4 linked regions of the Notamacropus eugenii genome follow. The main gene of each other region encodes a partner of the protein of the gene in region 2 in a complex. Links are inferred from orthologs where the notes say so. Each region holds a gene or a part of one and is shown on either strand. Other genes may lie near its edges.

What was found.
Region 1: KIF11 (region 2) and MYSM1 share a complex: the UniProt entries of both Homo sapiens proteins name them as parts of the large chromatin remodeling complex. The link is inferred for Notamacropus eugenii from reciprocal best matches to the Homo sapiens genes KIF11 and MYSM1.
Region 3: KIF11 (region 2) and RBM10 share a complex: the UniProt entries of both Homo sapiens proteins name them as parts of the large chromatin remodeling complex. The link is inferred for Notamacropus eugenii from reciprocal best matches to the Homo sapiens genes KIF11 and RBM10.
Region 4: KIF11 (region 2) and KAT2B share a complex: the UniProt entries of both Homo sapiens proteins name them as parts of the large chromatin remodeling complex. The link is inferred for Notamacropus eugenii from reciprocal best matches to the Homo sapiens genes KIF11 and KAT2B.

The regions. Positions count from the first base shown.
Region 1 is NC_092873.1:518,846,457-518,853,395, forward strand, and holds the start of MYSM1 (deubiquitinase MYSM1), read right to left. Parts: upstream 3,021-6,939; 5' UTR 2,980-3,020; coding exon 2,912-2,979; intron 2,396-2,911; exon of another isoform or gene 2,278-2,395; intron 429-2,277; coding exon 350-428; intron 55-349; coding exon 1-54. UniProt on the Homo sapiens protein: Metalloprotease with deubiquitinase activity that plays important regulator roles in hematopoietic stem cell function, blood cell production and immune response.
Region 2 is NC_092872.1:209,280,287-209,287,341, reverse strand, and holds the start of KIF11 (kinesin-like protein KIF11), read right to left. Parts: upstream 3,015-7,055; 5' UTR 2,879-3,014; intron 2,702-2,878; 5' UTR 2,682-2,701; coding exon 2,605-2,681; intron 1-2,604. UniProt on the Homo sapiens protein: Motor protein required for establishing a bipolar spindle and thus contributing to chromosome congression during mitosis. Required in non-mitotic cells for transport of secretory proteins from the Golgi complex to the cell surface.
Region 3 is NC_092879.1:101,863,666-101,870,792, reverse strand, and holds the start of RBM10 (RNA-binding protein 10), read right to left. Parts: upstream 3,002-7,127; 5' UTR 2,755-3,001; intron 581-2,754; 5' UTR 468-580; coding exon 451-467; intron 1-450. Other genes in the region: UBA1 (ubiquitin-like modifier-activating enzyme 1), read left to right, coding at 5,176-5,421. UniProt on the Homo sapiens protein: Binds to ssRNA containing the consensus sequence 5'-AGGUAA-3'. May be involved in post-transcriptional processing, most probably in mRNA splicing. Binds to RNA homopolymers, with a preference for poly(G) and poly(U) and little for poly(A).
Region 4 is NC_092874.1:34,104,274-34,112,280, forward strand, and holds the start of KAT2B (histone acetyltransferase KAT2B), read right to left. Parts: upstream 3,017-8,007; 5' UTR 3,002-3,016; coding exon 2,666-3,001; intron 1-2,665. UniProt on the Homo sapiens protein: Functions as a histone acetyltransferase (HAT) to promote transcriptional activation. Has significant histone acetyltransferase activity with core histones (H3 and H4), and also with nucleosome core particles.

The sequences.
Region 1 (6,939 bases), on a different chromosome or scaffold from region 2:
TTTCTCGATGACAGCCCTGTTTTCAGCACTGATGGTATTATCCAGAGTCCAAGGCTATTAAAAGAGAAAAGAAATTTTTTTACACTAATTGATTTGAGAATATCTTCCATGATATATCAGATATAAAAGTGTGATGTCTAAGTGAAACATCCCAGCATGACCTTCTTCAACATCAAAAGACATAAGGTTTCTTATAGAATTTAAACCAAGGAAAATCTCCTAAGGGTGTTATCTACAATGGCTGAGAACAAGGACAAACGCAGAAAAACATGGTATTCCAAGATACAAAGCATCTCTCATGTGCATACTGTGAAAAGCAAATGACACAATCTTCTTATAAAGCACTTACAATGAGGCCATTATCAGTTCTCCAGGTGGAATCAAGGTAATGATCTTGCTGTAAACCAGAGGCTGTATTTTCATGGCTTCTGTAATAGATAAGAAAATGGGCACAAAGATGCTTACAAAAGGGAGCTTGCTTGGGGACTCTCTTGGGCTGCACCATGCCTGACAGCTTCCTCTCACTGCTTGTGATGTAGCAGCTGATCTGGTCTGTGGGCTTTGGACCAGCCTCCACAGCCAGAAGCCAGCCCTCCACACACGCTGGGGCCTCCCAAAGGGAACTCTATTCACACAGATGAAGGGCTTTTCTCACAAAGACAACCACAAGAGGTGGCTATTAGAAGTCCACCCATCCCCATTTCAGAGAGGAAAATGCAGTCAGTTAAGTGCTGGAGCCCAGACTCAAGGGCTGCTCCCCTTGCTGTTCCATCATGACTTATACGATGGTATTAGAAGATGAGCACACAGCAAAGGCTGCTGATGACAATTTGAGTGTTTTTAAAGCATCAAGAACACAGACCCATTACCAACAGGTCATCTTCAAGCATGACGAAAACCAGAAATGTCAGAAGTGTGACGTGTCAGCCAAAAAGGCCACCGGGATCTGATGCCTGCAGAGTCCCACCATACTTGGCCCTAGTCAGACAACATCTGGAGTACAGCGTTCAGTTCTGAGAAGCACAGTAAAGGAGGACACTGGGAAGTTAGAGTTGTCCAGAAGAGGGCAAAGATCCTTGAGTCCAAGCCATGTGAGAGGAGAGGATGAAGGAAGGAGGTATAGTTAGCCTGGAAAGGAGGAGGCTCAAGCAGGACATGAGAGCAGTCTGTAAGCATTTGAAGGCTGGCCATCTGAAAGCGCAATTAGATGGCTCTGTTTTCCCCAGAAGCAGAACCCAGAGCTAGGAGACAAGTTGGCAAAGGGGCCCATTGAGGCTGGATGTCAACAAAGGCTTCCTAACAAGGAGAGCTGTGTGTGGCCCTGGGCAAACTGCTTAATCCAAATGGCACCGACTGTTTCATCTGTGAAATGAAAAGGTTAGTCTGAGTGTTAGTTCTGGATCATCTACTGTGTGACTTCAGGCAAACTTCTATGGGGGGGAGGTGAGTGTGTTAGCTTATACCTTCCAGCTGTAAATCCCCTGATTCTAAGATTAGAACCCATATCTTCCAAACCTTTGGCACCCAAACCCCCTGTTAGCTGGGACAGCTTTGCATGCTGCCATGGCTGGGGCCAGGCCAGCCTTCCCTCAAACTGTGACCTGGGATTCCAACGGACCACTGAGATTTGAGTGCCCTTCTCCAGGGCCAGGACAAAGGGCCTGAGGGTAGGAGCTGGAATGGATGTAATGAGGATCTCAGAATCTGGGGGCTTTGACTTGAGTTCTAGCACAGAGCTGCTGTTCAGCTGTTTCAGTCATGCCGGACTCTCTGTGACTCCACCTGGCAGAGTAACTGCCATTTCCTTTTCCAGCTCATTTTGACAGGTGAGGAAACTGAGGCATTCAGGGCTGGGGTGAAGGGTCTCCAAGCCTGCAGCTCTGTCCACCGCCACCCAGATGCCGCAGCAGATCATGGACAGGACCAAAGGGACCCTCACCTGCTAAAGGACAACACTGGACTAGACAGAACTAGATCGCTCTCAGGCCCATTCCCTGCGCTGACACCTTGTAACCCAGGACCACTTGGAGGGCAAGCCTCCAGATTCTCTAGGGTCGTCCTTCCTGGCTCCTCGGCAGAACTGAACGCAACACCCCTGAGGGCGGCTCTGCTACGTTCCTGGCTGTGGGTCACCAGCCCCGAGAGAAGCACCGGACACTAAGGGGGCTCAGCGTCCGCAGCAGAAGTCGTGGAAGCGCTCCTCGGACCCCCAGGACACTCATCCTGGCAGCAGAAAACCCCCAGAGGGGCGCAGAGAGGAGCCACAAGTCACATTACCGAGGGCCTCAGGAATACTCCAGAGGAGCGGCCTGACGGGCCCCACCGGGACGGGCCCGGGAGCAGCCCCGCGCGGAGGCAGGACTGATGAGGGCGTCTGCGAGGCAGGCTTCAGAGAGCAGGGGAGGAGAGAGGACACCAGGCCCCGCCCCTCCGCGCTGGCCACACCCCCTGGGCTTGCCCCGCCCCCTGGTCTGGCCCCGCTTCACCCCCCCCACCCCCACCCCAGGGCGGCCCCCTCAGCCACGCCCACACTGACGTCACCAGGAGGACCCAGGACAGAGCCATCCCTTCATTAGGCACCTGCTGTATGCCGAGGGGTGGCCAGGTGGAGAGGGGGGACCCCAAGGGCGCCTCGCTCCCAAGGGTCACGAGAAGGGCTAGGAGAGCGGAAGGGGCCTGCCTCAGTTTCCTCATCTGTAAAATGGGCCCTCTCTGGGGTGAGCGGGGCCCCCCCATCAGTGTAGGATAGGGGAGGGGGCCGGCCCGAGGGCACGCGTGACGGGCACACCAGTGGGATCTTCCCATTTCACTGGCGGAGAAGGGGAGGCCCGCTCGGCCCGCGCGCCCCGGCGCCGCCCGCCCCGGGACCGTGACCCCCCGCCGGCCCGCTCGGCCCCAGCCCCGGCCTCACCCGCATGGAGGAGGAGCCGCCGCCCCTGGGTCCCCCTCGATATCCACATCCGCCTCCTCGGCCGCCATGATTGTGACTCCCGACCCCGCCGCGGCCTCGCGTGACCTGGCTCGAGATCCCGCGAGACTTGAGAGACGCGATGACGGAGGGAGGGAACGTCACCAGAGAGGAGGCGCGTGCGTAGCGTGTTTGCGGTTGGGGGCGTGGCCACAACGGGTCGGGGGAGCGGCCAGGGGCGGGGCTATAGCTCGGGGGCGGGGCTATGGGCAGGGCTGGAGCTCAGGGGCGGACCCAGAAGGCGAGGCCACGTGGAGGCTGGAAAGCTCTGGGGTCTGGAAGCCGAGGACCGCAGGTGGTCTCTGATGTCCCCCCACTCCCCGACTGGTGATGCTGTAAACTGTGCCACGGTGCTGCCTTGAGAGCTTGTAGATTTGGAGCTCACTCGTTTTAGTGTGTTTGCCATTAACTGTATTTCTGATTGGTAATCAATCATTTCATTTAGATTTTGTTTTTTCCACCCAAAACCCGCAATTATTTTTATTTCCCACCCTCACTATAGAAAAAGAGAAACAAAAACAAAATTCGTAACAAATCTGCCTGGTCAGGCAAACCAGCTCCCCACGTCTGCATCCAAGCATCAGTTTTGTCCTGTGGTCCCAGGGGCTCACCTTGGACCATCCAAGGTCCAGGGGAGCTGGAGGAGGGGTCAGTCCAGCTGCCTCATTTTACCGTTGGGAAAACTCAAGCCCAGAAAGACTGACTTCAAATCAGAGCTGGAAGGTGGTCCTCTAATGGAAAGATGAAAGAACCAATTCCCAGGAAACTGAAAGTGAATTAAAATCATAGATTTGGAGGAAGGATTTCAGAGGCCATCTGGTCATTTTACAGATGGAGAAACTGAGTCCTTGAGAGGGGGAGTGATTTGACCAAGGTGGGGGGGGAGTAATAGTCATAGCTGAGATTTTATATAGTGCCTTAAAGTTTACATAGTCATAAATCCCAAGCTGGAACAGATCTCATCAAACTCCCATCTTTTTCCGGTGGGGAAACTGAGGCCCAGAGAGTCTTGCATAGGGTCACAAAGCTGACTCCAGTCAGAGTGTTTTTCATATCTAGAACTAAAAGGAGACTTGCAGATTGTGACAACCCCCTCATTTCACAGATCAGGAACAGAGGAGCTGTTAATCAATCAGGCAATACATATTTATAACATAGGATATTTGATATTATTATACAACACATAACATAATATAGAATAATAACGTGAACCTATGACCATAAACGGACTTTACAGACTCTGTAAATGTGACCCTGGGCAATGATGATCAGAATGATCTGAGCAATAATAGCCAGCATTTATGTATCACTTTAACGTTTGCAAAACACTCTACATATATTAATTAACTCATTTGATCCTCACAATAACTTGGGGAGGCAGATGCTGTTATCACTCCCATTTTACAGAGGAGGAAACTAAGGCAGATGGAGATTAAGTCCTATGCCCACTGTCTCATAGCTAGGGAGTGTCTCAGGTAGGATTTCAACTCAAGTCTTCCTGATTCCAGGTCCTGTGCCACCTAGCTATGATTTAACCTCTCTGGGGTTTAGTTTCCTTCTCTGTAAAATGAGAGGGTTGAACCTGATCTAGTTGTTAAGGACTCTAAAGCCTTGGAAATGGTTGGGTGGGATAAGTTTCAGTGGTTGGCTTAGCTGAAACTCCAGCTTTGTTGGAGGGCCAGCTCCTCTTCAACCCCCTCTTCTCCGTCTTACTAAGTAAAATTCCAGGGTGTCATCTGTGCCAGAAGTTGGAAAGAATTCACTCACCCCAGTGCACACATGTCAGGTAGGCCTGGGGAAGCTGCCCCTGAGGGGGAAGTAGAGTCATTCAAGAAGATAAATTTTATCCGAGGGAAATTTTGCTGAGCTGCCTGTCCACTATGTAGCGATCTCACTCACAGAAATGCTAAAATAGCTCTGAGGCAGAGGATCTCCATCTTTTTTTTAATATCATGGACCTCTTTGGCAATTTAGCATAACCCACCATGGTTTTTCTGAGAAAAATCATATTGGTGAATGCATAAAGTAAAACAAGATTCTAAATGAAACCAAAAGCTGGTGAAAATAAGCATGTAATTATTTTACTTTCTAAGTTCATGGACCCCCTGAAATCCTGAAACGAACACCTAAGGGAAGTATCTGTGTACCCCACCAGGAGAAAAGCCTGTTCTTTTAGGCACTGGATTATTTCATTAAAAAGCTGAGACCACTCTCCTGCCTCTGCAATTCAGGGAAAATACAGTAGATGGCAGGCGGAGCTCAGCAGAAAACCAGCAGATAATATCACAGAATTTGATAAAGCAGCCTGGAGGATGCTATCAGCAGCCGTAGGAGAAAGCAGCAAGTAGCAGTTTTAGAGGCAAGAGGTCTTTTAGTGAGGTCACAGACCTGAATGTATGAGGCCTTTTCCTTCTTATTTGCTTTGCTTTTCTGTTTTATTTAAATTCATTTCGCTTTGGTTAATGTGTAATCTGGTTTGGTCTGTTAAAAGGAGATCATGGGTGGGGGCTCTTGGACTGTGGCTTTACACAGATATTGACTCAAAGATCAGCTTGAACCTGGGGTAGCCTCCAGGTGGAGGAAGGTCCCACACTACCTTAAGGCTCAAGAAAATTTGGGGAGAGGGAAATCACTTTCAGCTGGGGAGACATGACATCTGAAATGAATCCTGAAAGAAAAGAATTTCAAATAGTAGAGATGTGGAAAGAATGCATTCAAAGCACAGAAGAAATGCCCAGTGTGGAGAATGAAATGAGGGAAAAGCCAGGAGCTTAGTTTGGCTGGAATGTGATGGTATGAAAATGAAGGTGCTACAACAAGGGCCAGAGAGTCCATGGTATTTGGTTCCATTAGCAAGGGAAGACAGGCCAAGGTAGACTAAAATTTCCAATAAGTTTGTGAGGAACCAGAAGGAATAAATGAATTATTCACTGCTTTTGGGTTTAAATCCAAGCTTTGCTATGTGATCTTTACCTGTTTGTAACTTTGATCTTGTCTTGGCCTCAGTTTCCTCATCTGCCAAAGAAGGGAGTTGGAACTCCAAATCCGCTGATCCTTTGCACTAACATTTCAGTAGCCCTTCAAGGTATAAAAAGACATTTCTTCCCAACAAATCACCTCTCATGGCCCCACCTTTACTGGTGAAATGAGATCTAAACTCTTTAGTCTGGCATTTATGGTCCCCTATATACAAAATGAGTGGGTTAGCCTAGCTCTTAGATCTGTGAGTTGCATCTATAAATTAGTCAGGTTAGTGGATGAGTTCTGGATTTGAGTCAGAAGCCCTGAGTTTGAATCCTGCCTTAGGCACTTCACCTTCCAAGGCAAGTCACTTCAAATTTTTGCAGCCTCAGGTTCCCCAAGTGTAAAATGGAGAAAATAATTGTAAAGGTCAGATGCGATAAGTGGAAGGCCCTATACAAAAGCTAACTATCATTGTCACCGTCACCAACCAATTGTCATGGTTCTTGCCATTATAATAGATGGGGAAACCGAAGCTTCCAGGGATTCTTATCCAGGTAGTAAGCGTCTATTGCAAGCTTTGAATCCAGGTCTCTTAACTCAAGTTTTGACGCTCCTTGCCAATATATTATATCACTTTTCTGTCCCTTCCCACAAGGCTTTTCTAGTCTGGTTGGCTAGATGAGCCATTTGGTACTGCTCCAGTAGAAGTCATCCATCACCTCCTTCAAATGACAAAGTGTACGATTGATGGAGGAGGAGGGGGAAAGGAGATTCTAGGAGAGGAAAATCTATGAGGAGGATGGTAATGAGGCTTCCCTGGAGCAGAGGATCTGTGTTAGTGAATATTAAGACATGAGCTTGGAGAGTGAAAGGAAAGCAGCAGAGCCTTGAATGCCAGACTGAGGAATTTAGATTTAATATGCAATGATAATGATAGGTAGCATTTGTGCAGTATATTAAGGTATGCAAAGCACTTGACAAATGTCATCTTATTTGATCCTCACTGT
Region 2 (7,055 bases):
TCAACCATTCTGGAGAGCAATTTAAACTATGCCCGAAGGGCTATAAAACTACGTATACATATCCTCTGACCAAGCAATACCAGTACTAGGTCTGTATCCCAAAGTGATAAAAAACAAAAAGGAAAAGGACCTACATGTACAAAAATATTTATAGTAGTTCTTTTAGTGGTGGCAAAGAATTGGAAATTGAGGAGATATCCATCAACTGAGGAATGACTGAACAAGCTGTTGTATATGATTTTGATGGAATACTATTGTGCTTTAACAAATGATGAGCAGGATGCTCTGAAATGAGCAAAAGTAGGAGAACATTATACACAGCAGATGACACAATATTGCTGTTATTATGAATAACATAGCTATTTTTAACAATATAATGATCCAAGACAATTCTGTAGTACTTATGATGAAAGGTGCTGTCCATCTCCAGAGAAAGAACTGGCAGAGCCAGAATGTAGATCAAAGATACTTTTTCTTTACTTTCTTTTTTTTTTCTTGTTCTTTTGTCTGTTTTCTTTCACAGAATGAGTTACATGGAAATGTGCTTTACATAACTACACATGTATAACATATGCCAAATTACTTGCCTTCTCAAGTCAGGGGGTAGGGAAGGAGAGAATTTGTAACTCAAAATTTGAAAAAAAAAATGTTAAAATTGTTTTTACATGTAATTGGGAAAAATATTAAATAAAAGTTGGAATTTAACAGGTGAAGAAGGAAAAGGAAAACACTTCCTGACCTAGGAAACAACCTAAACAAAGATACAAATGTGGAAGGTAAAGGTGTATCGTGGGGACTGAGTAGTTCAATATGCATGAACCACAGGGCAAAACCATGATAAGTCAGTCTTTTACTTCTGTCTAATCAATTCTCTATCAGTGAGGATTTTCCAGACCTACTTTTTTATTCAAGCCTCCCACACCATCTCTTTCTCAACTGTCACAGTCAAGGATCTTGCACCATATTTTACTGAGAAAATAGAGATTGTGTACTACGAGTTTCCTATTTTTAGCTTTTCTATATCACTACACCTTAAAATAATATTATGGTTTCTCTACTCCAGTACCTGTTGAAAAGGTGGCCAACCCTACTTGATATATATCCCTTCCCTGATTCTTGCTCGCAGTAGCATCCCTTCTCTACCCAATCTTCAATCTATTTTTTTTTTAAATTCTACCCCTTATACCTATAAACACTCACTAGACTCTAACATTCTCTCAAGTCACTATCCTTTGTCCTTGGCTTTTAGTCTTATGTGATATAACAAGACTAATTAAAAAAAGGTGATTAGTTTCATAAGTAATACGTGCAATTTATTACATACTTCAAAGGGAATAATAGCTAACATTTATACAGCTCAAAAATTATCTTGTTGGATCCCCATTTTACAGTAAAGGAAACTGAGGCAAATAGAGGTTAAATGATTTGTCCAGGATCATAGAACTGGAAAGTGTCCTGAGGCTGAATTTGAATGTAAGTCTTCCTGATTCTGGCACTCTAGCCACTATGAGCCATCTACCCACTTCATATTTTAAGTCAAAATATGCACCACAAATGCCCCTCCATTCTGCTTCAAACAAAATAAACTGGTCCTACTATGTCACTCTGGTACAGCAAAAGGAGCCCTGACTTTGGAGTCAGGCAACTGTGGTTCAAATCTGATGTTTGCTCCTATGTGTGCCTCTAGGGTCACTTAACCTGCCAGAGCTGCAGCTTCCTTAACAGTAAAACTAGTGGTTTTTCAGTTACTACATTAAGAGAATTACATTAATTAAGAGAACACAGATAACAATGAGGAAGCTGAGGCTTCAGTCACTTGCCCACGGACACAAAGCTTTGGTTGTAATTCAGTCCTGTCTGACTTCCTGACCCCATATGGGGTTTCCTTTGCAAACAGGGGTTTGCCATTTTCTGCTCCAGCCCATTTTACAACGAAGAACTAAGGCAAAGAGAGTTTAGTGACTAGTCCGGGGTTACACAGCCAGTAAGTGTCTGAGGCCAGATTTGAACTCAGAAAGAGGAGTCTTCCTGACTCCATGCAGGGTACCTTACCCATTTCACCACTCAGCTGCCCTTAAAATGGTAATCACACACACACACACTCTCTCTCTCTCTCTCAAAGGTTAGACAATCAATCGATAAGCATCTATTAAGTGTGTACGTCCTAGGCTAAGTGCTGGGACAAAAACTCCAGCTCCAGCTCCAGCACAAACTGTCCTTAAATAAACTAACCAAAGGCACTCAATAAAAGTCTCCAACAGCACCACAATCGGGCAGCGCCGACGGGAGGGGAAGGGGATCTGGCCCCGAACGTCCCAGGAGTGGCAGGCAGGGGGCCGACCCGACAGCGCCACAAACGCGTAGCACTTGGGAGCGTCCCCGCCGCCCTTGGGAAGCCAGATCGGATCAGCTTCAGTTGACAGACGCAGCAGAGGCACCCGGGCAGGTGTAGGCCGATAAACATCCTGGGGTTTTCCGGGGTTCAATAACAAGACGCGCGGGCTCCAACGCAAATGTCAACACTCGCGGGCCCCCAAGATGCCGCCGGGCTCTGGCCCCACCTAAGGACACGAACCCGCGGGGGTGAGATCTCGCGTCTCCTACCTGCATCTCACCACGACCTGGATGTTCTTTCCTTTCTCATCCTTCTTCTTGCCAACAGAACTCGGCTGAAAAGCCATGACGAGACTCGCAGAGGAACCTAAAACCGGGCCGAGAAAAAGCAAGGGCGGGTCAGGGACGGACCTCGAGGCGCGTACGGCTCCTCGGCTCCACCCGGGCCCGTCCAGGGAGCGCCCAGCACCCCCTCCACCAGCATCCCGCGACCAAAGAGGCCGACGAGAGTCCCACCCGCCCAAGACCCCAGCGGGGCTCTCACCTCACTCTGGGTCCCCAGACTCAGAGAAGCCGCTCGTTAACGCCGCTTGGGACCAGCTTCCTCCTCTCCGGGGCAGAACAAACGTTCACGCGCCACGATTTGAATCTTGGACGTGGGATTTCTCCGGACCAATCACAAGGGCCCCGCGCTCAATGCGCCATGGGAAACTGATTTAAATTAAAGGGACCGAAGCAGGTTACAGATGGAAACAGGGAGGAAAAATGGAAGGAGGAGAGGAAATTTTTAAGGTGATGTAAGCCAACTGCATCGTTGTGCTTTGCGATGCTTACTGTGAGAGACTCCTGAAAACAAAGAGAAACCCAAGTGAGTCAGCCCTTCCACCCAGGAGCCAAGAATTTTTCTCTCTTTTTACTACAAGCCCCAGCGATCAGTGCGGCAACTTCCGGGAAATTGCGTAATTGCTGGATTTTTTTTTTTTTCCACTGCCTACAGATCCCGGCCTGCACTGTGCGCCACCGGATTTCCGCTTGCCTTTGTCCCATCTTCCGGATGCTGAGACTGCCGTTTGAGATTTTTGCGTGGAGCGGCCAAAGGCTACTGATGAAGTGAAGGTGTGGGGCGGCGCTTGGTTTCTCAGAGGGCTTTCGTTTGCGCCGCAAACCGAGCGTCTCCTTCCATTTCTTCCGCAGAAGGTCCCAACAGATACCTGGACTTCCCGGGGAGAATCTTCTCACCACGTGCCTTTTTTTCAGCCTCATTAATGTAAAATTCCTGCCTGTCCGGTCAGGGCCTTCCTCCGCTTGGGTGCGATCGCGGGAGAAGCACTGTTGTAATCTAGGCACCTGTGATCCATATCCAGCCTCAGTTTCTCCTCTGAGCTCAGTCGCGAGTCGCCAGCTACCTAGTGGCTATTTCCTACTGACTGTGCCCCCTAGGCGTCTCCGACCGCCGCCCCAACTTCCTTGTTTCTGATAAGGGACCATCCTCCCGTAGCTCCCCGACCTGCGTGCGACTTCAGGGTCTTTCTTGACGATCCTTCTCTCCAGCCTTCCTCCCCAGTGAGTGAATAGCCCCTCAACACCACCTCCAGACCTCGCTCAGCCACCTCTCTCCATTTGAGGTTCACTTTATCCAAGTTTTTCATCCTATTGAAAGCCTGGTAACTGACTTGCCTTCATTTCTTGGTGAGTTCAGTACCTGTCTCACAGGCTCTCTTTCCATCCCAACTTCTGCCTTTATCCCAGGGAATTTCAACAAATATGTTGTAATGTGACCTCACACATAGTAAACTAGCAGTTCGGTCTTCTCAACTCTCCGTGCCCTATTTTCTCCATTCTATCTTAAGTAAACACAGGAATGGTCATGCCCTTGATCTTGCTATCACCCCTATGTTTCTCTTCCACTGTCAAGAATTCTGAAATCCCTGTCTCTGAGAGTGACCTTTTTCTTCCTAAACCGATCCCAACTCATGGCAACTCCTCTAACTCAGCATATACTCACTCCCTCCCCATATTTACCCCTTAGATAACCCATCCAACAGTACATTACCTCTACTGTGGAATTCCCTGTCCTAGAGATAGATACTCAGATACTCCTGTCAAATCCCAACTTTGCAATGAAGTTGGAGGAGGTAATGTAACTACAATGACTGCATCCACTACCAGTTTATATTAACTGATGTCAACTAGACTCTCACTGCAGCAAGGCAATCCTTTTACTCCTCTCTTATTGTCTACCCACTCACTGCAGCAGATATTCTGAATCTCTCCTCAAGCAGAATTCCCTTTCTCCCAGCTCCTCAGCAGAAGTCGTTACCCTATACAGTAGGGTCCAAAGAAGAAAAATCAAGGCCTTACAATTTGACTCTATCTTCCATCCTTCTTATCTCATAACCCTTTGACATCCCCCATTCTTTCTCCCTTTACTCCAGGCTCTATTGGGGTCCTTGTGGTTCTTGCTGAAGCTAATCTTTAGCTAATACATGTCCCTTGATCCCATCACCTCTCCATCTTCTACAGCAGATTGCCCCTACTATCCCTGTCTTTAACCTTCAATATCTCCCTACTAGTTTTTCTTTTTTGTTTCGTTTTTTTTCGTTCTAGTGCTTTTTCCTTTTTGTTTTGATTCTTTCACAACATGACTAATGTGGAAATATGTTTAACATGATTGTACATCTATAATCTATATCAGATTTCTGTTTTGGGAAGGGAGGAGGGAAAGGAGGGATGGAGAAAAATTTGGAACTCAAAATCTTACAGGAATAAATGTTGAAAACCATCTTCACATGTAAATGAAAAATAAAATACTATTAAATGAGAAAAAAAATTAAAAATAAAATCCCATCTTGTTTCTTGGGACAGCTAGGTGGTGTGTGGATTGAGCATGCAGCCTGGAGTCAGGAAGACCAGAGTTCAAATGTGACCTCAGACACTAGCTGTGTAAACCTGGGCAAGTCCCTTCACTGCTTCATTTTCCTCAAAATCTGTAAAATGAGCTGAAAAACGAATTGGCAAACCATTCCACTGTCTTTGCCAAGAAAATCCTAAATGGAGTCACAAAGAGTCAGACACAACTGAACAACAACAAAAATTAGTTTTTTCCCCTGCTTCCCACAGACATGCCCATATCTTCCTAAATCTTAAAAAAAGAAACCCTTACTATATTCTACCATTTCTGCTAGCTATGATCCTGTTTCTTCTTTCTTTCTTAGCCAAAATATTTGAAAAATCTATATACATTAACTTCTTTTCTCATCTATTCCAAACACTGAAATCTGGTAGCCAACTTCATTACTCAACTAAAACTACTTTCTTCAAAGTGATCTCTTAATTGCCAAATCTGGTGATTTTTTTTCTCAGTACTAATCCTTCTCTGCCTCCCTACGGCATTTGAGACAATTGAACACCTCCTGAATGCTCTGTCATCTTTGTGTTTTCATGATGTTCCATCTTCAGACTCCTAATATTTTAACTGACTTGCCCTCTATACCTGGAATGCTATCCCTCTTCATCTCTGCATCTTGTCTTCCCTTGCTTCTTTCAAATCTCAGCTAAAATCCAGTTTCCTAAAGGAAGCCTTTCCCAATTCCCTTTAATTCTAATGCCTACCCTCTGTTGATCATCTCCTGTTTATCCTGTATATAATACATAATTGTTTGCATGTTGTCACCTCAATTAGACTGTGAACTCTTTAAGAATAGGGAATTTCTTTTTCCTTTTTTGTATCATAAGCACATAGTAAGTGCTTAACAAATGCTTATTGACTGCCTTCTCTTGGTTCTTCTCCTCTTAGTCTAACCATTCCTTCTCCACTTCCTTGACTGGATTTTCATCCATGTTAGATCTTCAAGAATCCGTACTGGACCCCAATTGATAAATGGTCAAAGGATATGAACAGGCAATTTTCGGAAGAAGAAATTAAAGATATCTATAATCATATGAAAAAATGCTCTAAATCACTATTGATTAGAGAGATGCAAATCAAAACAACTCTGAGGTACCACATCACACCTATAAGATTGGCAAACATGACAGAATAAGAAAATGATAAATGCTGGAGAGGATGTGGGAGAGTTGGAACACTAATTCATTGTTGGTGGAGCTGCGAGCGCATCCAACCATTCTGGAGAGCAATTTGGAACTATGCCCAAAGGGCTACAAAAATGTGCATACCCTTTGACCCAGCAATATCACTTCTAGGACTGTATCCACAAGAGATCATAAAAATGGGAAAGGGTCCCACATGTACAAAAATATTTATAGCAGCACTCTTTGTAGTTGCCAAAAACTGGAAGTCAAGGGGATGTCCATCAATTGGGGAATGGCTGAATAAATTATGGTATATGAATGTAATGGAGTACTATTGTGCCATAAGAAATGATGAACAAGAAGACTTCAGAGAGGCCTGGAAGGACTTATATGACCTGATGCTGAGTGAAAGGAGCAGAACCAGGAGAACTTTGTGCACAGCAACGACCACAGTGTGCGAGAGTTTTTTCTGGTAGACTTGGAATTTTGTAATAACGCAAGAACTTCTTAAAAAAAAAAAATCCCAATGGTGGTTCTCAAGGCAAAATGCCTTCCACACTCAGAGAAAGAAATATGGAAGTCATTCGCAAAATGTAGCAGACCATGTTTGTGTATGTGTATGTTTTTGTGTATCATGTTTTGATTTGTTATATGATTTCTTTCATTTATTTTAGTCTGACAACATAGCA
Region 3 (7,127 bases), on a different chromosome or scaffold from region 2:
CATGCCCATGTAGCCAAAGGCAGCTGGGGACAGGCAGAGGAGCTGACACACAGCACTGCTGCCTCCTGCTCTGCCCTCTCTCTCTCAAGGCCCAGTCAAGCTCCTCGGAGCCCTGTCATCTGTGTTGGAGCATCCTGGGGGAATGATGGCACTGGCCCAAGGTGGCTTGTCTGGGTACAAAGAGCTTTCTAGAAAAGATAGCTACTGCCCAGTGCCAAGAAGTCTCAGGAATGGGGGGTAGCCAGGATCAGACCTTACTATCTCACATGGTCTCTGAATCTCTTTCCAAGAAAAATATTATGATCCCAGATCATTCAGTTTTGGAACCCTACCCCTCTCCAGCCAAAACCCAAAGTCAACCTTGGGAAAAATCAAGGGGAAAAGATGCCCCTTGTTTTTGCCAGGGCCCAAAGGATTCTCACTTTGGGACAGCCCTCTCCCCAGTCTCACCGTCTTTCATACTCCATGTCTGGGGGTGGCCTGCTCCTGGGCCGATGGCTCCGCCTCACTTCCCAGCTGCCACCAGCCCTGCTGTTGCCACCATGCTCCGCCAGCCTGCACAAGAACTCCCGTGAGGGATCTGAGGGACAGAAAAGAAAAAGGAGAGGTCAGGGGCAGCCTGAGCCCATCCAGGCAGGGCGGGCTACCTAACCCTTGGTACAGGGGAAGAAAACGAGAACTAGCAGCAGTCAATCTGGATTGTCTCCAGAATGGGAAAGTGGGAAGGAGGAGGGGGAGGGGGAGGGAGAGAGCGAGAGAGAGCGAGCGAGAGAGAGAGAAAGAGGGAGAGAGAGAGAAAGAGGGAGGGAGAGAGAGAGAGAGAGAGAGAGAGGGAGGGACAGGGAGAGAGAGAGGGAGGAGGCAGTGATAGAAATGAAGAGACAAAGAGATGGAGAGGGAGAGGCAGAAAGAAAAGAGAAAGGAGGGAGAGAGATAAAGGAGGGAGAGAGAGATGGAGAGACAAAGAGATGGAGAAAGACAGAGAGGGAAAGACAGAGAAAGAGAAAGGAGGGAGGGAGATAGAAAGGAGAGAGAGAGAAGGGAAAGGGAGGGAGGGAAATGGAGAGGGAGGGAAATGGAGAGAGAGGGAGAGAGAGAGGGAGGGAGAGAGGGAGGGAGAGAGGGGGAGAGAGAGAGGAAGAGAGGGGGAGGGAGGGGGAGAGAGGGAGGGAGGGAGGGAGGGAGGGAAGGCGGGAGGGAGGGAGGGAGGGAGAGAGAGAGAGAGAGAGAGAGAGAGAGAGAGAGAGAGAGAGTGAGAGAGAGAGAGAGAGATATGAGGAGTCAGAGCCAGAGCTGCCACTGTATCTTGGCTGAGAACATCCAAGCATCTTTGCATCTTGGTTTGCTCTTGTATAAAACGATGATTAGAACTAGTTGCACTCCATACCTCAGGGGGCTGCTGGGGAGGATGTGTGGGTCCATGTGAATGAATTGTAAAAGGCCTGAGAAATATTGGATATGACTTTCAGGGCCCCCCAGCTGCCAAGAACAGCCAGAGTCCAAGGTCAAGGCCACCATGCTGCCTCCCTGGCTTCAGCCTTGGCCCCCAAGTCTTTTCTGCTTTTCCTTGATCTGGATGCTTTGCCCCTTTGTACTCTGGAGTGAGGGCCAGGATCACTGCTGCCTCTGGTGGGGGAGGAAGGTTCCTGTGCACCCCTCCCCTGTGTGTCCTTCAAAACATATTTAACTCCGGCACCTGTCCCCTCTGGAACAACAGGGGTTTTTAACTCCGGGCTCCATGGCCAGACTGGGGGGTGGGGGGGGACCCTCCCTTGTTATTTTCAGTTATTACTATTCTGTAAAGCCAGAATTCTGAGAAGGCTGCCCTAGAACCTGGGGCCACATGGGACTGGGAACTCTATGAGGACAAGACCGAGGCCTGGCCCATCGTGCTGCCAGGTGTGGCCCAAAGGGGCGAGCAAAGGCCACCTGGCCTTGGGAGGTGCCTTCCTTTCTGCCCTCAATCCCCTCTCCCGCCCCCTAGGCAGGTCCTGAATGGCCCTCACCCCTCAGGCCTCCAGAGCTCAGCTGGTAAGTTTACACAGCACTTTCCTTCCAGCTCCACTTGTCGGAAAACACAGAGGCTCAGCTGCCCTGACTGCAGGGGCCCAGAGACGGGGCTGAAGGCCTTGCTGCCTCGTCTTCTCCTACGCCCAGCAGGTGAGGCTAATAAAGGGGCTTCTCAAAAGCCGCCAGGCAAGGGGTAGGAAGCAGCTACGGGCACCCAGGGCCAGAGCAGCCCACTCTGGGGCACCCCCGATCAGCCTGACCTCTGCCCTGGCCGGCCCCCCAAGGTACAGCGCTGCCCTAGCCGGGCTTAGGGGAAAGGGCCCCGCGGGGGCAGGGTCTGGCACATGGCAGGGCCAGCGGGCCAGAGGAGCGGCCATGCCAGCTGCCCTCCCCGATCTGGACCCGCTCCAGCCGCCTGCTCCTGTCATTCATCCATCTGATCCTCCCCAGACCGGCCGCAGCCTCTGGGGAGGGAGGAGGGGGCTGGGGGAAGGGGAGGGGGGAGCAGGAGGGAAAAGACGGCGGGGGGAGGGGAGGGGGAGAGGAGCGCGGCGCCACCGCCGGGAGCGCGCACGCTCGCTCAGGTTCGCGCCCGCTCGGCGACTCGGCCTCTATTCCGCACCCCCCCTTCACCCCCCCACTCCCACCCCCGGGGGGCCTCCGGCGCCGTGGCCGCCGCCGGGTCGGGGCCCCCGACCCCTCCCCCGTCCCCGGCCCAGCCCGAGCCCCGCCGGGCCCGCTCACCTGCCGGGTCCGGACCGTGAGGCGAGGGCTCGGGCACATCACCCGGCCTCCGCCGCCGCTGCTACCGCCTCCCTCGCGGGCACGCGCGCGCGCGCCCGCCGTCAGTGGGGCCGGGCCCGGGCCCGCAGGAAAGCGCGGCTACGACTCCGGCGAAGCTGCCGCCGCCCCCGCCGCCGCCGCCCTCCTTCTCCTTCTCCTTCTCCCCTTTCTCCGCCCCAGGGCAACCCACTGCTGCCTCCCCCTGGCTGGCCCCAAACTACCAAGCGAAGATGGCGGCGGCGGCAGCTCCGCCCATCCCTCGCCCCGCCCCTCCCTTTCCCGGCCCAGCAGCCCAGGCGCGAGCCGGCCCGGGCCGGCCCGGGCCCCGGCGCGCTCCGTTGGGCTGCTGCGCCCCCTCCCGAGCATTCTCCGCGCTGAGTCGCCGAGTCCCGCCCCTTGCTTCCACAGAGGGCGTGGCGATTGGCCGAACCTGCACCACGTCCATGGGGGAAGGAGGTGGAGTCCCGCCTCACGTGATTCCAGCGGGGGTGGGGGGAAGGCAGAGGGGGACTAGACTGTCGAGTGGGTTCCGCCCCTTTGCCCATTAGGGAGGAACCGTGCTCCAACTAGACCTTTTTGGCGCCACTGGAGAAAGCGACAATGGTCGTGCTGCGCTGCTGCACTTCCGTTTAAACTCCTTAGCTTGGCTTGACCCCCTGCCTTCTACGTTCTCTATGCCTAGTCGTTCTTTTCAGGAACTTTGGTAGAGACTATGCCTTGTCTCTCTTGGCTCTCCACTGTTTTCAGTTCAGGTCAACAGCCACTTATGGAGTGCCTACTATGTGACAGGCACTGTGTCCCAGGCACAGGGAAAAGGAGTCCATAGCCTAATAGTACACTTACTGGAGATGAGCTCCTCCGGATTGTAAAGCATATTGGTCCTCAGACCGTTGGCTCGATCTTTTCAGAGCACCTTACTGAAAAGCCAGGCCTTCCATGGTGCAAGAACCCACACCGTGAAGTATCTCTACCCTCCAAATGATTAATAAGGAAAACTTTTGAGGAAAGCTCTTAGAAAAACGATCATTGGAGAGATTCTTTTATGGAGCATACATGGCGGGAGTCCGAGGAAGATGAATTGGAGTAGGAATGAGTCAAAGAACCATGGGTTCAAATCATAGCCTCTAACACTGCTGGTATGATCTTGGAGACGACCCAGGACCTTGGGTCCTTTAGGCCAAGGTCTTTGCAGGTATTCACTTAGGGTGAACTAATGCCCATTCATTGAATAGGACTGTTTAAGCAGTAGCCAGGGCATGGCCCCTTTAATGAATCCAGTGACCAGACATTCCTCAGGATGACTGAAGATGACCCAGGATTCCAATGGTTCTGGAGGAGATGTGAGGCTGGTGACCTGCACAGCCCTCTCTCATTCAAAACAAAGTCAAGGGCAAGTCACGTCATCGTTTCTCTGGTGGCATGGTCTTCTTCAGCAACGAAGGAACACAATGACCTTGGTCAAGTAAATTACCTTTTTGGCATCTGTGCCTTTCCCCAACTGTTAAAATGGTGGAGTTTGATACAATGACTTTAAACTTCCCTTCCATTTCTAAATCTATGATTTCTCATCTGGCAGGTAGCTGGCACAGTGGGTAGAATGCTGGAGTTGGAATCAGGAAAACCTGAGTTCAAATTCTACCTCAGACAGACAATACCGTGTCACCCACAGATCTCTTAAGCTCCCATCTCTAAAATGGAGAGGATCGAACTGGATGGTGTCCAAAGTCTTACTCTACCTGCTCTCTCAGACAAACCCTACCTTTGTCATCTGTACTCAGTACAGAACCCCGGAAATATCTCAAACGCATAATGCAGAGAAGTTTGGGGTTTAGATCTGTCTCTTCCCCTCTCCCCCCCTCCCTTCAGGTTTTCAGTCTCTAGTTGCCCTGTGTCTGGATCTTTGCTCTCATTTTAGTCTCTGTACCGGTGTCTGTTCATCCATTTTCTGTTTTAGACTCTAGGTTTGCCCCACTTTAGCTTTAACTCTAGGTACCTTCCCCCCACTTCTGTCAATGTCTCTGGAACCTGAATTTTAACTCAGTCAGTCTCCACGAATGATTTTCAAAATTGGTCCCGCCCTATTTCCCAGCCTTCCCTAATGCTCGCGCCCTTGTAGGAAGTTGTCTCCGCCACAGATGTCTAAACCTCTTCCCCACCCTGGCCCAGTTTAGGATAGTGTTCACCACGTGCTCCAGTCAAGCGCCAGCGCGGGCTGAACTACAATTCCCAGCAGGCTCCGCAACGGCGACCAGCCTGGATCGTACCACGTGTGCTCCACCAGGGGATTCTTTCAGTAACTTTGGGGCCGGTTTTTTTCTGGAATGGGCGAAAAAGAGTCAGAATCTGATGTGAACTAGGACGCTGACAGGACATGAGGTGAAAATGGGGTGCACTCGAATGTCAGAGCAGGGGATAGGCCGCGAGAGTCGCATTTGGGGTGAGCCTTCCCCCTTGACGCAAATAGTACCTTCCGCTCCGGGCCCGGGGACCCCAAGTTCCGCGCTCAGCCCATCGCTACGCAAGCCGGGGCTCCTCGGCAGCAGCAAAGTTAGCTCTGGCTACCGCTCCAGCACCGCCTCCAGCTCTAGGGGAAGGCTAGGCCTCGGCGGCTCCGGGCCTGAGGAGGGGGTGAGTTGAGAGACTTGGCGTTGGCGTAGAGGGGACCCAGGGAGAGCTTTTATGAAACGGCACGAGTTGGGGGGGTAGTGATGAGAGTTTCGTCCTTGTGTGGCTGCCCGGGCGTAGGAGGCGGGGTCTTTTTTGACCATTATTCATTAGGGGCGGGGCCTCTGCCCCCATTTGGACTTCTTGGAGGGGCGGGGCAATCTGGGCCGGGTCTTAATGTAGGAGGTGCGTTTGTTCTCTTCCCCCCTCCCCCCACCGGGTATTGCGTGCGTTTTTAGCTGACTAGGAGGAGGGATGCCGGCGTTCGCCGAGCTGGGCGGACGGGCCGCAGGCTGGCGCGTGCGCGAACCTGCGCCTGGTCCGCGGGGGGAGGGGTAGGCTTTGGCCCGTTTCGGGGCGCGCAGGCGCGAGGCGTCGTTGCTAGAGGATTTGAGCGAGGCCTGGCGCGGTACCTGGCAGTGTCACTCAGAGATAGGAGGGCGGGAGCAGTTTGGGGGTGAGGACGGGGGCGCACGTTTATTGGCTCGGGCGCTGGGGCGAAGAGATCGGGGGAAAGACTTGCTTGTGCCCTCCCCAAGCCGCCGGAACCCTGCTCTCGGTGAATGTGCCAGCTTTGTAGCCTGCGGCGGGGGCGAGGAATTGGGACGGGGGCGGGGCTTGCCGGCCGGCGGAGGGGCGGGCCTCGGACTGGGCGGTGCCTGCGTCAGGGGGCGGAGCCACCCGCGGGTTTTGTTCCGGCTCTGCGGCGGCGGCCGCCATCTTGTGTCTGGGACCGAAGCAGCCCGTGGAGGGGCTGAGACTCCAGGCGCCGGGGCTGGCCTTGGGTGGCGGCGGGGGGAGTTCCCTGAGCACCGGACGGCGACGGCGACTGCGGTGATCGGGCCCCGGGGAACAGGCCTTGGTAACCGGCCTGCCTTCTCGGCTGCCGGCCTCCCTCCCCTCTACCGCGATCTCTTCTCCTTCCCCCCACCCCCATCCCCGCAGTCTACTTCCTCCCCTCCCCCCCCCCCACTGTCTGCCGCTTCTCCCGTTCCCCCCAGACTGCCGGGATCTCTCCCCCCCAGCTGGGATTTGCCTCCCTTCACCAGCCCCCCTCCCGCTGCGATTTCTCCACCCCCCCCCCGGGGGCGGGGCCACTGTATCGTCGGGCCCCACCCGGGATTCTGCCGGAGGGGTGGGGCCGCCGGAGGTGCTGGGGGGAGGGGGCATCAATCCTGCCTCTTCACTCTCTCCACGCCGGGGCCTTGGGTGGATGGGTGGGCGGGTGGGTGGCGGGCCTACCGGCAGCCACTCCAGATAAGACCAAGGAGCACCCTGGACAGCGCCTTCCTTTCATTCCCCTTTCCTCCTTCCATCTTTCTTGGCATTCTGTTGGTTTGGAAGCCTCTTTGGCCTTTCTGCCCCCCACATTCACCCGAGGGAGTGGGAGAAGAACCCTAAAGGAAGGACAACAGCCTTGGCCAATCAGGACAATGGTGCTTCCTCTTTCCCCCCTCCTACTCTGTGTCACCGCTCTGCTTGGCAGATGGCTTACTTTCCCCACAAACGTGATGGGCCCCCTGGACTTACCCACTGACCCCATCTGTTCCTGTGTCTCTCTAACCCTGCCCAAAAGAAGATGTCCTGATCCTCCTGCCTGCCTGCCCAGGACGCCTCTCTGCTCTCATATTTCTCTCCTTTCCACCCCCAGTAGGACCAGCTCATTGACT
Region 4 (8,007 bases), on a different chromosome or scaffold from region 2:
CCATGCTCTGCCCATTGGAGTTCCTTATAGATGTTATTTTTTTTTTTAAGGAAAGGGGAAAAAGTTAGGGGTGGGATTTGAGTATATCCAGAAATGACTATTCTAAAAACTAGAGGCACCAAACTTTAAATGTGTTTTGCCTGGTTCACTCTCAAAAAATTTAAGTCAAAATTTCCCAACTACTTCCCTCTAAGGTATCACTTCTCAAGTTGTCCCAAATTTGGTACACTATCACTGACCTAGATCTCTTCTACTAGTAGCTTGGGGTAGAGAGTTGACCAATTCACAAAGCTGGAGAAGAACTAGGGTGAAGGTCTGGAGATCTTTGCCAAGACACCATTCAAAAGAATTCTACCGGTACCCTGCAAAGCAGGTTAGTTTCTTTTTTCTAGGAGAGATATGGTAGGCTACCCTTCTTCTGAGGGGAGGAAAAAGCAGACTACAGGCTAAAATCAGTGCCTTGTTTTGCCTTCATTTGAGCCTAAAGAGGAAAATAAAAGTATCTCTCTTTCAGGAGTCTTTGATGGGTCTCCTCCCCTGCTCCTCCAATTCCCCATTCTTGATTGCTTTTCTTTCCAGACTGCCTAAGGGGCTGGTATTTTAATGGGTTCTAAGCTGTCCCTTCTGTCCTTTGTAAGCAGTGGCACTTAGAGGAGAATTAGAATCTTTTTAAGAAGTACAATAAATGACCCTTTTCTATATGCTGGACAAATCAAGGGCATTCGTGAGAATGCTGAATTATAAGAATGAGAGAAGCCCTTATAAATTCTCTTGGTTCTTTTGTGCATCTCCCTTACAGTCTAACTTGACATGGCTGGCATTTCTATCCTCACTGGCAATGTTTGAGACTGGAGGCTTCTGGAAGACAGGCTTTACGAACTGCTGAGTTGTTTGTGTTTGCTTTTTATTGCTAGCACCAAAACAGTCCCTGGAACACAGTAAGTGGGTGCTCCTAACAGTTTGAACTAAGATTCAAGCTTCAACTGGATTAAGATTCCATTTCAGTTAAGATTGTACCTAAAACTCTCTTAAGTACAATCTGAATTGAATGATGTATTCACACAGCTCTCAATCCCTCCAATGGTTTTCAACCTATCTTGACTGCCCACTACACTAGTTTTCTTCCCTGAAAAAAGTCCTAGGCAGAAAAAGAGCCAGAGAGGAAGCAGCTCTGCTCTGGAAGCCCCCTAATCAAGGTGGATTATTATTATTATTATTATTATTATTATTATTATTATTATTATTATTATTATTTTTGCAGCTACAGATCCCAGGTTCTTAAATTCCTGAGTTTTTAGTGGGGTAAGGGCCTTAGATCATCTAGTCCAACTCGCATATTTTTCATATTTGTTAATAAGGGCCACGGAGATTCCATGACTATCCAGTGAAGCTGCACAAAGTAGGCAATTGCTTGTTGATTAATAATAACTAGCAAATTCAAGACCTGAACCCAGGTCTTTCAAAACCTGGCACACACAGTGGAATTTAAAGTTTCAGACTGACTTTCAGCGTGAGGAGAAGTGATCAAAGTCTTCAAAACAGGAGACTGAAATAACGAACTGGAAAGAGAAGACAGAGAGTGATGCCCAGCACAGTTTGGCAGGAGGGCAGGGTAAACTGGGGAGAGAAGATTGGTCCAAGACAGCTGAACTCGGACATCGGAGGACTTTAAACTCCCAGAATCCCAACTCTTGACTATGTTTACCATGCAGTTGGGGAAGAGAGACGGCTAGCCTCTCAAATTAAGGTTGTTCTGTGAATACTTAAAATATGCCTGGGTTATCATTAAGATTAACAACTGTGTTCTTGGGAGGACCCAGCCCTACCATCCCACCACCAGCCCGGGCCATTCTAGGAAACTGGCCTCTGGCTCCCAAGTACCAGGCATGGGAGTGATTAACCAGAACACCCTCCCCCCACCCCCACCTGCAGCCACAGGCCCGCCTCCTTCAGCTGTCACCCTGTCAAAACAAAGACGACGGTGCCAAGGGCCACGGGCCTCCAGCAGCTCTGGGACTACGATCCCTACCCCGGGCCACATCTGGATGGAGGGGGCAGGGCAGGTCCCGGACCATCCACAGGGGCGTGGTGTGGCGCCCTCGAGAAAGGGGGCAAACACAGGAGGAGGGAAGCGACTTGTTCCAGCCAAGCCAAGCTTATCAACACGCCCAAGGGTCTACAAAGCAAACCCACCCTAATGCAAAGCTAAGGTGCGCTGGCATCCCGCTACCCAGCCCCCGAGCCCCCCAGGCTGGCAGCGGCTCCCCGCCCGGAGGAGCAGGGCAGGAGCGCACGGCGCGGCCGCTCGGCCGGGCCACTGTCTACACCGCCCACCCCTGGGGCGGCCAGTCGTCATTCCCCCCCCCCCCCCCAGCAAACATCGCCGCGGGCTTCGGCTTCTGCCCCCCCCCCCCGCGCCGTGCACGCGCGCACACACACACACACACACACACACACACACACACACACACACACACACACCGCACACACCGCACACACCACACACACGCACGCACCACGCAGGGCTCGGCTCCGACCCACCCGGAGCGGTCCTGCCGCGGGGCAGCGGGGGGAGGGGAGGGCCCGGGTGCGGGCCCCGCCATCGCCCGGGGGGGGGGCAGGGCGGGGCAGGGCAGCTCCCGCCCGGGGCGGACGCGGACGCTACCTTGCAGGCGGAGTACACGCCGAGTTTCTCCAGTTTCTTGGCCCGGGGAGCGGAGCGGAGCTGCGCCTTCTTCACCGCGATCCGGGCCGTGGAGGCGCCGCTGCCCGCCCCCGGGCTCTCGGCGGCGGCCGGCCCGGAGGAGGCGGCGGGGCCGGGGCCGGGGCCGGGGGCGGCCGCGGCGGGAGCGGCGGCGGCCGGGGAGCCCTGCGGGGGCGGCGGCGGAGGGGGCAGGGGCGCCGGCGGCGGCGGCTGGGGGGGAGGGGGCGGCGGCGGCTGCTGCCCCCCGGCCCCGCCGCCCCCGCCCCCGGCCGGCGCGGCCCCGCCGGCCTCGGACATGCCACCGCCGCGGAGCCCGGCAGGAGCAGGAGGCGGAGAGTGCTGGTGGCCGCCGCCGCCGCCAGGGTCTCCCTGGGCGCCTGTGGGCTCGGGGAGGGCGAGAGGGACCCTCCCCCTCGGGGCCTGGCCTCCCGCTCCGCTCCCTCCCCCTCGGAGTTCCCCTCCCCCTCTCCCTCCCGCCCTCCCTCCTCCCCCGCGCCCTGCGCTGCGCGGCTCCGCTGCGCTCCCCTTTGGCTCCGGGCCCGGCCGCCGCCGCCGCCGCCGCTGCCCCGGGAGGGAGGGCGCTAGCGGCCCCGCGGCCGCCTTCCCCGGGGTCTCCTCCCCGGGGCCCTACTGGGCTCCGCGCCAGCGCCCCGCAGCCGCCGCCGCTGCCGGGGACATGCTCGGCCCCGGGCCCCGGAGCGTGCGCGCGGGGGTCAGCCCGAGGCTCCGGCCGCGGCTCCTCTTCCGCTCCCCGCGGAGACGACCCGGGTCTCCCTGGGTCCCCGAGCGCCCGCGATGGGGGCGGGGCTGGGCGGGGAGCGGAAGGGTGGCGGGGCGAGGCAGGAGCCGGAGCTGGCATCCCCGGGCACCTGCCGGAGGCTTCGCCCCGCGGGCCGAGCTGGGTGCCCGGCGGCGCCTCTCCCCGCACACACGCACCCCGAGCGGGCCGGGCATCTTGCGCCGGGTCGGGGGCACCGCACAGCCGGGTGGCTCCTCCGGGCGCCAGCTTGCCCGCCCCGCGCTTCTTGTAGGAAGGCTACGAAAACTTCCTCGGCTGTTCCTAAACTGTGCCAACAGAAGGAAAAGTGCACTTTACACGAAAAAAGTTGGTCTTTTTGTCCCAGTGCCTGTCTGAAGTGGCCTTGACAGCGCCACATAGAACGCAGAGCTAAAGACTTAGTGGAACGTAGATTAAAAAATAACCTTTCAGAGCCTGTCCGTCAGGAGGGACGTGGGCGACCCTCCCGACTAAAGAGCCCAGAGAGGGCAAACCACCCGCCCAAGGACACACAGCAAAGTCAGGCGCAGAGCCACGACTACAACTTCTCTGTGTCCGTTTTTATCCGGTGACCTTTTCGCTAAACCCTCGCTGTCTGATCTTCAAGGGCTCACGATTCATTTGGGATGGAGACAGTTTTTGAAACGAGTTTTAATGGCCCTTCATTAATTAGATGGAACTGGGACATTTTATTGACTTTGCAGGTGAGCCGGTTTCTTTCCGACTTGCCTTTCCAATTTACTTTTAAAACTACTCATTATTTCTCTGGATCTTTTACAAGCACATAGTGTAGGACAGGGAATTTATATGAATATTTTAGCAGATTCTTTGCATTCCTTGAGAATTATAGCTAGTATTAATGTGGTGATTTAAGGTTTGTAGTGCGCTTTGCAAGTATTTCCATCATATCCTCTCAACAACCCTGGGAGGTGGGTGCTATTATTGTTTCCATTTTATAGATGAGGAGACTAGTGAGTCTTAACTCTGGAAAGACCACCAACTTTCCCATTTCAGCTTACTATCCTTTTCCATCCCTAACTCTTATTGTTCTTTTTTAAAGAGCTTTAAAAAAAAAAAGATTGTTTTAATAGAAAAGGAAATACCTTCCACCCCAACTTTTAAAAGGTAGTATAAAATTGCTGCCAATTAGAATGCATAATATAAGATGTTATGAAAAGTTCAAGGTTCTATTTCCTGGCTGATGTACAACACTTTACTTTTCAATGTTAACCAACTTACTGCGGTACTGAAGGCTATTGGCGTGTTCTTGTCATTCTCTGCACTGGCCATATGAAATTCTTCAGCTCACACATGGAGTAAGACTTCCTCCTATCAGGGATATGGCCAGACCACTCCAAAATCACTACAGTATTGACTCACCCTACACCTGACCAAAGTCAGTATGCATGTTTGAGGCTAGAAGCCACAGAGAAAGTTTGAGAGGCAGCCTGCTTCCAAGATAGAGAGTAGCTAAAGCTCAACAAGCCCATTTCAATCCACCCTGAAAGTCATTATGTTTGGATGGTGAATGATTTCTGACAGCTGAAAATGGATTTTCATTTTGACATATCTCGCAGCCTCAGAATGACACGTGATCGGAGGGCAAATGCCTGCAATCCAAGGCATGTAGGAAACGTATTAGGGGCTGAAGATACAGGGTGCAGCTTCTCTCCCTCATCATCATCAGTCCATAAGTAGCATTTAGGGAGTTGCCAGGTGATAAAAGCCTCTAGCCTCTATATTGAGGGCATTGGTTGAGAGCTGGAAGTTGTCATTGTCCAACCCTGCCCCATCCCCATTTTCTGGATGCTGATACTAAGGCCCAGAAATGCTAAGACACTTGCCCAAGGTCACAGGTAATGAGTTGTAGTCAGAGCTGAGGCCAGGTCCAGTGACTTCAAAGCCCAGGTTTTTTCCCCATTTGATTCAATAAACATGTTTTAAGCACGCGCTACTTATGCATTGTGCTAAGGTGTTGATCATAAATATGGAGGCTATTTGGGGCTTTCCAAAGAGCTTACAATGGGAAGAGGACAAAGTAGCCTGGTCTGGGATCAGAAAAGACCTCAAGCTTTATCTGAGTGGGAGGCCTAGCACTTGAGCTAGGCTGGGAGTGGTATTAATTCCTACTGGCAGAGGTGAAGAGGCAGTGCATTCCGGGTTTTGGGAATAGCCTGTTCAAAAGCAGGAGATAGAATATTCTGTGTGAGAAAATAGGATGGGACTATAGAGTTTTTGAGGGCAAGTGATGGGAAATCAGTGCAGAAAGATAGGCTAGAAACGGCTTACAAAAGGCTTTTCATTCCAAGCAAAAGAATTTGTATCTTCTTATATAAGGAACACGTGGAGGCTGATAGGTGCTCAATTGATAGAGCGCTGGGCCTGGAGTTAGAAACACGTGAATTCAAATCCAGCCTCGGGCGATAACTAGCTATGTGACCCTGGGCAAGTCATTTGACCTCTGTTTACCTTAATCAACTAGAAAAGAAAATAAGAAACCACTCCAATATCCCTGCCAAGAAAAGCCCAAGGACAGTGTGGTCCACAGGGTCACGAAGAATCAGAAATAACTAAACAACAACATAGGAGCACAGAGCTAGAGCTGGGGACCCTTAAAGGTCATTCCATCCAACCCTCCAGTTTATAGATGAGAAAACTGAGAGGTTAAGTGATTTGCCCAAGGTCACAAAAATAGGAAAATTCAGAGGCACGATTTGAGCTCCAGACCTGCTTCTTATCTCTGATTGTAAGAAACTGATGTTTCCTATTTATCAGTGTTGCTGAAAGAAAGAGAACATGAGTAGGAATGAGGTGTGAGCCCTTAGGTAGGAGAGGATCAGCTTCTGATGGGCCAGAGCTGCCAAACAAATGCCAACCCAGGGAGAGAAGCATTTCTCCATCTTTATAATGGGACCATAGCAAAAAGAGCTGGGGAAATCTTACAAAATTCTCTGGTCCAACCTTTTTGTTACATATGAAGACTATTGATGCTTTGAGAAGTTGAGCCTCCCCCAAGTTCACACATTTAGGAAACAGCGGTCAGAATTCCAAGTGAATCCAGTTCAAAAATTATTCTTTGACATGAAGTATAGATAATATGAATATACCCAGAGAGCAATAGATAAGTACCCCTGCCACAGCACAGCAGAGAATTAGCCTTTGAGTCAGAAAGACAAGTTCAAATTCTTCCTGTGACAGATATTAGCTGTGTGGTCATGAACAAGTCACCAACTTGTCAATGCTCCAGCATGGTATGGCGATGTCTTTCAATTCATGCGTAAATTCGATTTAAGTGAGGCAGAGTTGCACAAATTCTCAGGCCTCCCTCTCTCCTCCAGTCATTATCTTTGACTATAAATTATTGATCATTTATCACTTCTCTGAGGTAGAGGGAGTTTTCACACTGGAAGTACCACACAATAATTAAATCCCCTCCCAATAAAGGCTGTTTCCATATGAAAAGAACCTTAGCCCTGGATATCTGGATCCTAGGAGAATGCAATATCATTTGCATACCTGGTACAATGGCCTCTACTTCTTTCTTCTTTCTTTCTTTCAATCATTGAATCACATACAGATAGCCTCAATATGGAAACTGGCAACATTAACACTGAATGGGATAAAAAACTGTTTGTTTTTCCAAATTCAATTCAAAAAGCATTTATTATATGTGATGTCGGGCTCTCGGAATATAGGGTATAAATGAAAAGTCTCTCCCCTTACCTTCCATGAGGAAAACAACATGTACCCATGTAAAAATATACAAAATATACATATGTATGTGTACATACATATGTGTGTGCATTATAAATAGGAAGTCTCATCTAAATGCTTTATCTTTAAAAAAAATACAAAAGAATTTAAGGGAATTTGGAACTACTATTCCATTGTTTAATGACTGACTCATTGAAAAGTAAAATAAAAAAAAAATACATATATACAAAGAAATCCTATATTAGCTCCAGAATGGCATGTTCAGTTCCAAGTGGGCTATCTTTGCTCCTATTTCAATCTCTCTCTGACCCAGTTTAAAGATAGCCAATCTCTCTCCCATCCCCCAGATTTAGGCACCTCTGTGAAACAGATAATTTGGCCTCAGACAGCTGCTGTGACTCCTGGCAAATCATCTCTTTGCTTTCAGACTCAATTTCTTTATCTGTAAAATGAAGATTATAAAATTGCCTATTATCAATATGAGGTCAAATGAGAAAACATATACGTGTGTATGTATATTGTGTATGTGTGTATACATACATACATATGTTTATATACATGCATGTACATATACACAGAGTTAGCCCTTCATCACAACTTTCCTTTGTGGTTTTGATATATCATGGGTCATCATAAGAAATTAAAAGGAATTTTTTGGGAGTTTTGTGCAGATGACAGAAAAAGTTTAGAAACTCAGAAATGCATAAAATTTATGTGTAGCATTATATAATATCAACATATTTTATCTTTTCATACCATAATAATTCAGACTTCTTCTCTGATACTGAGGGCCCAAAAATTTCATGATGAT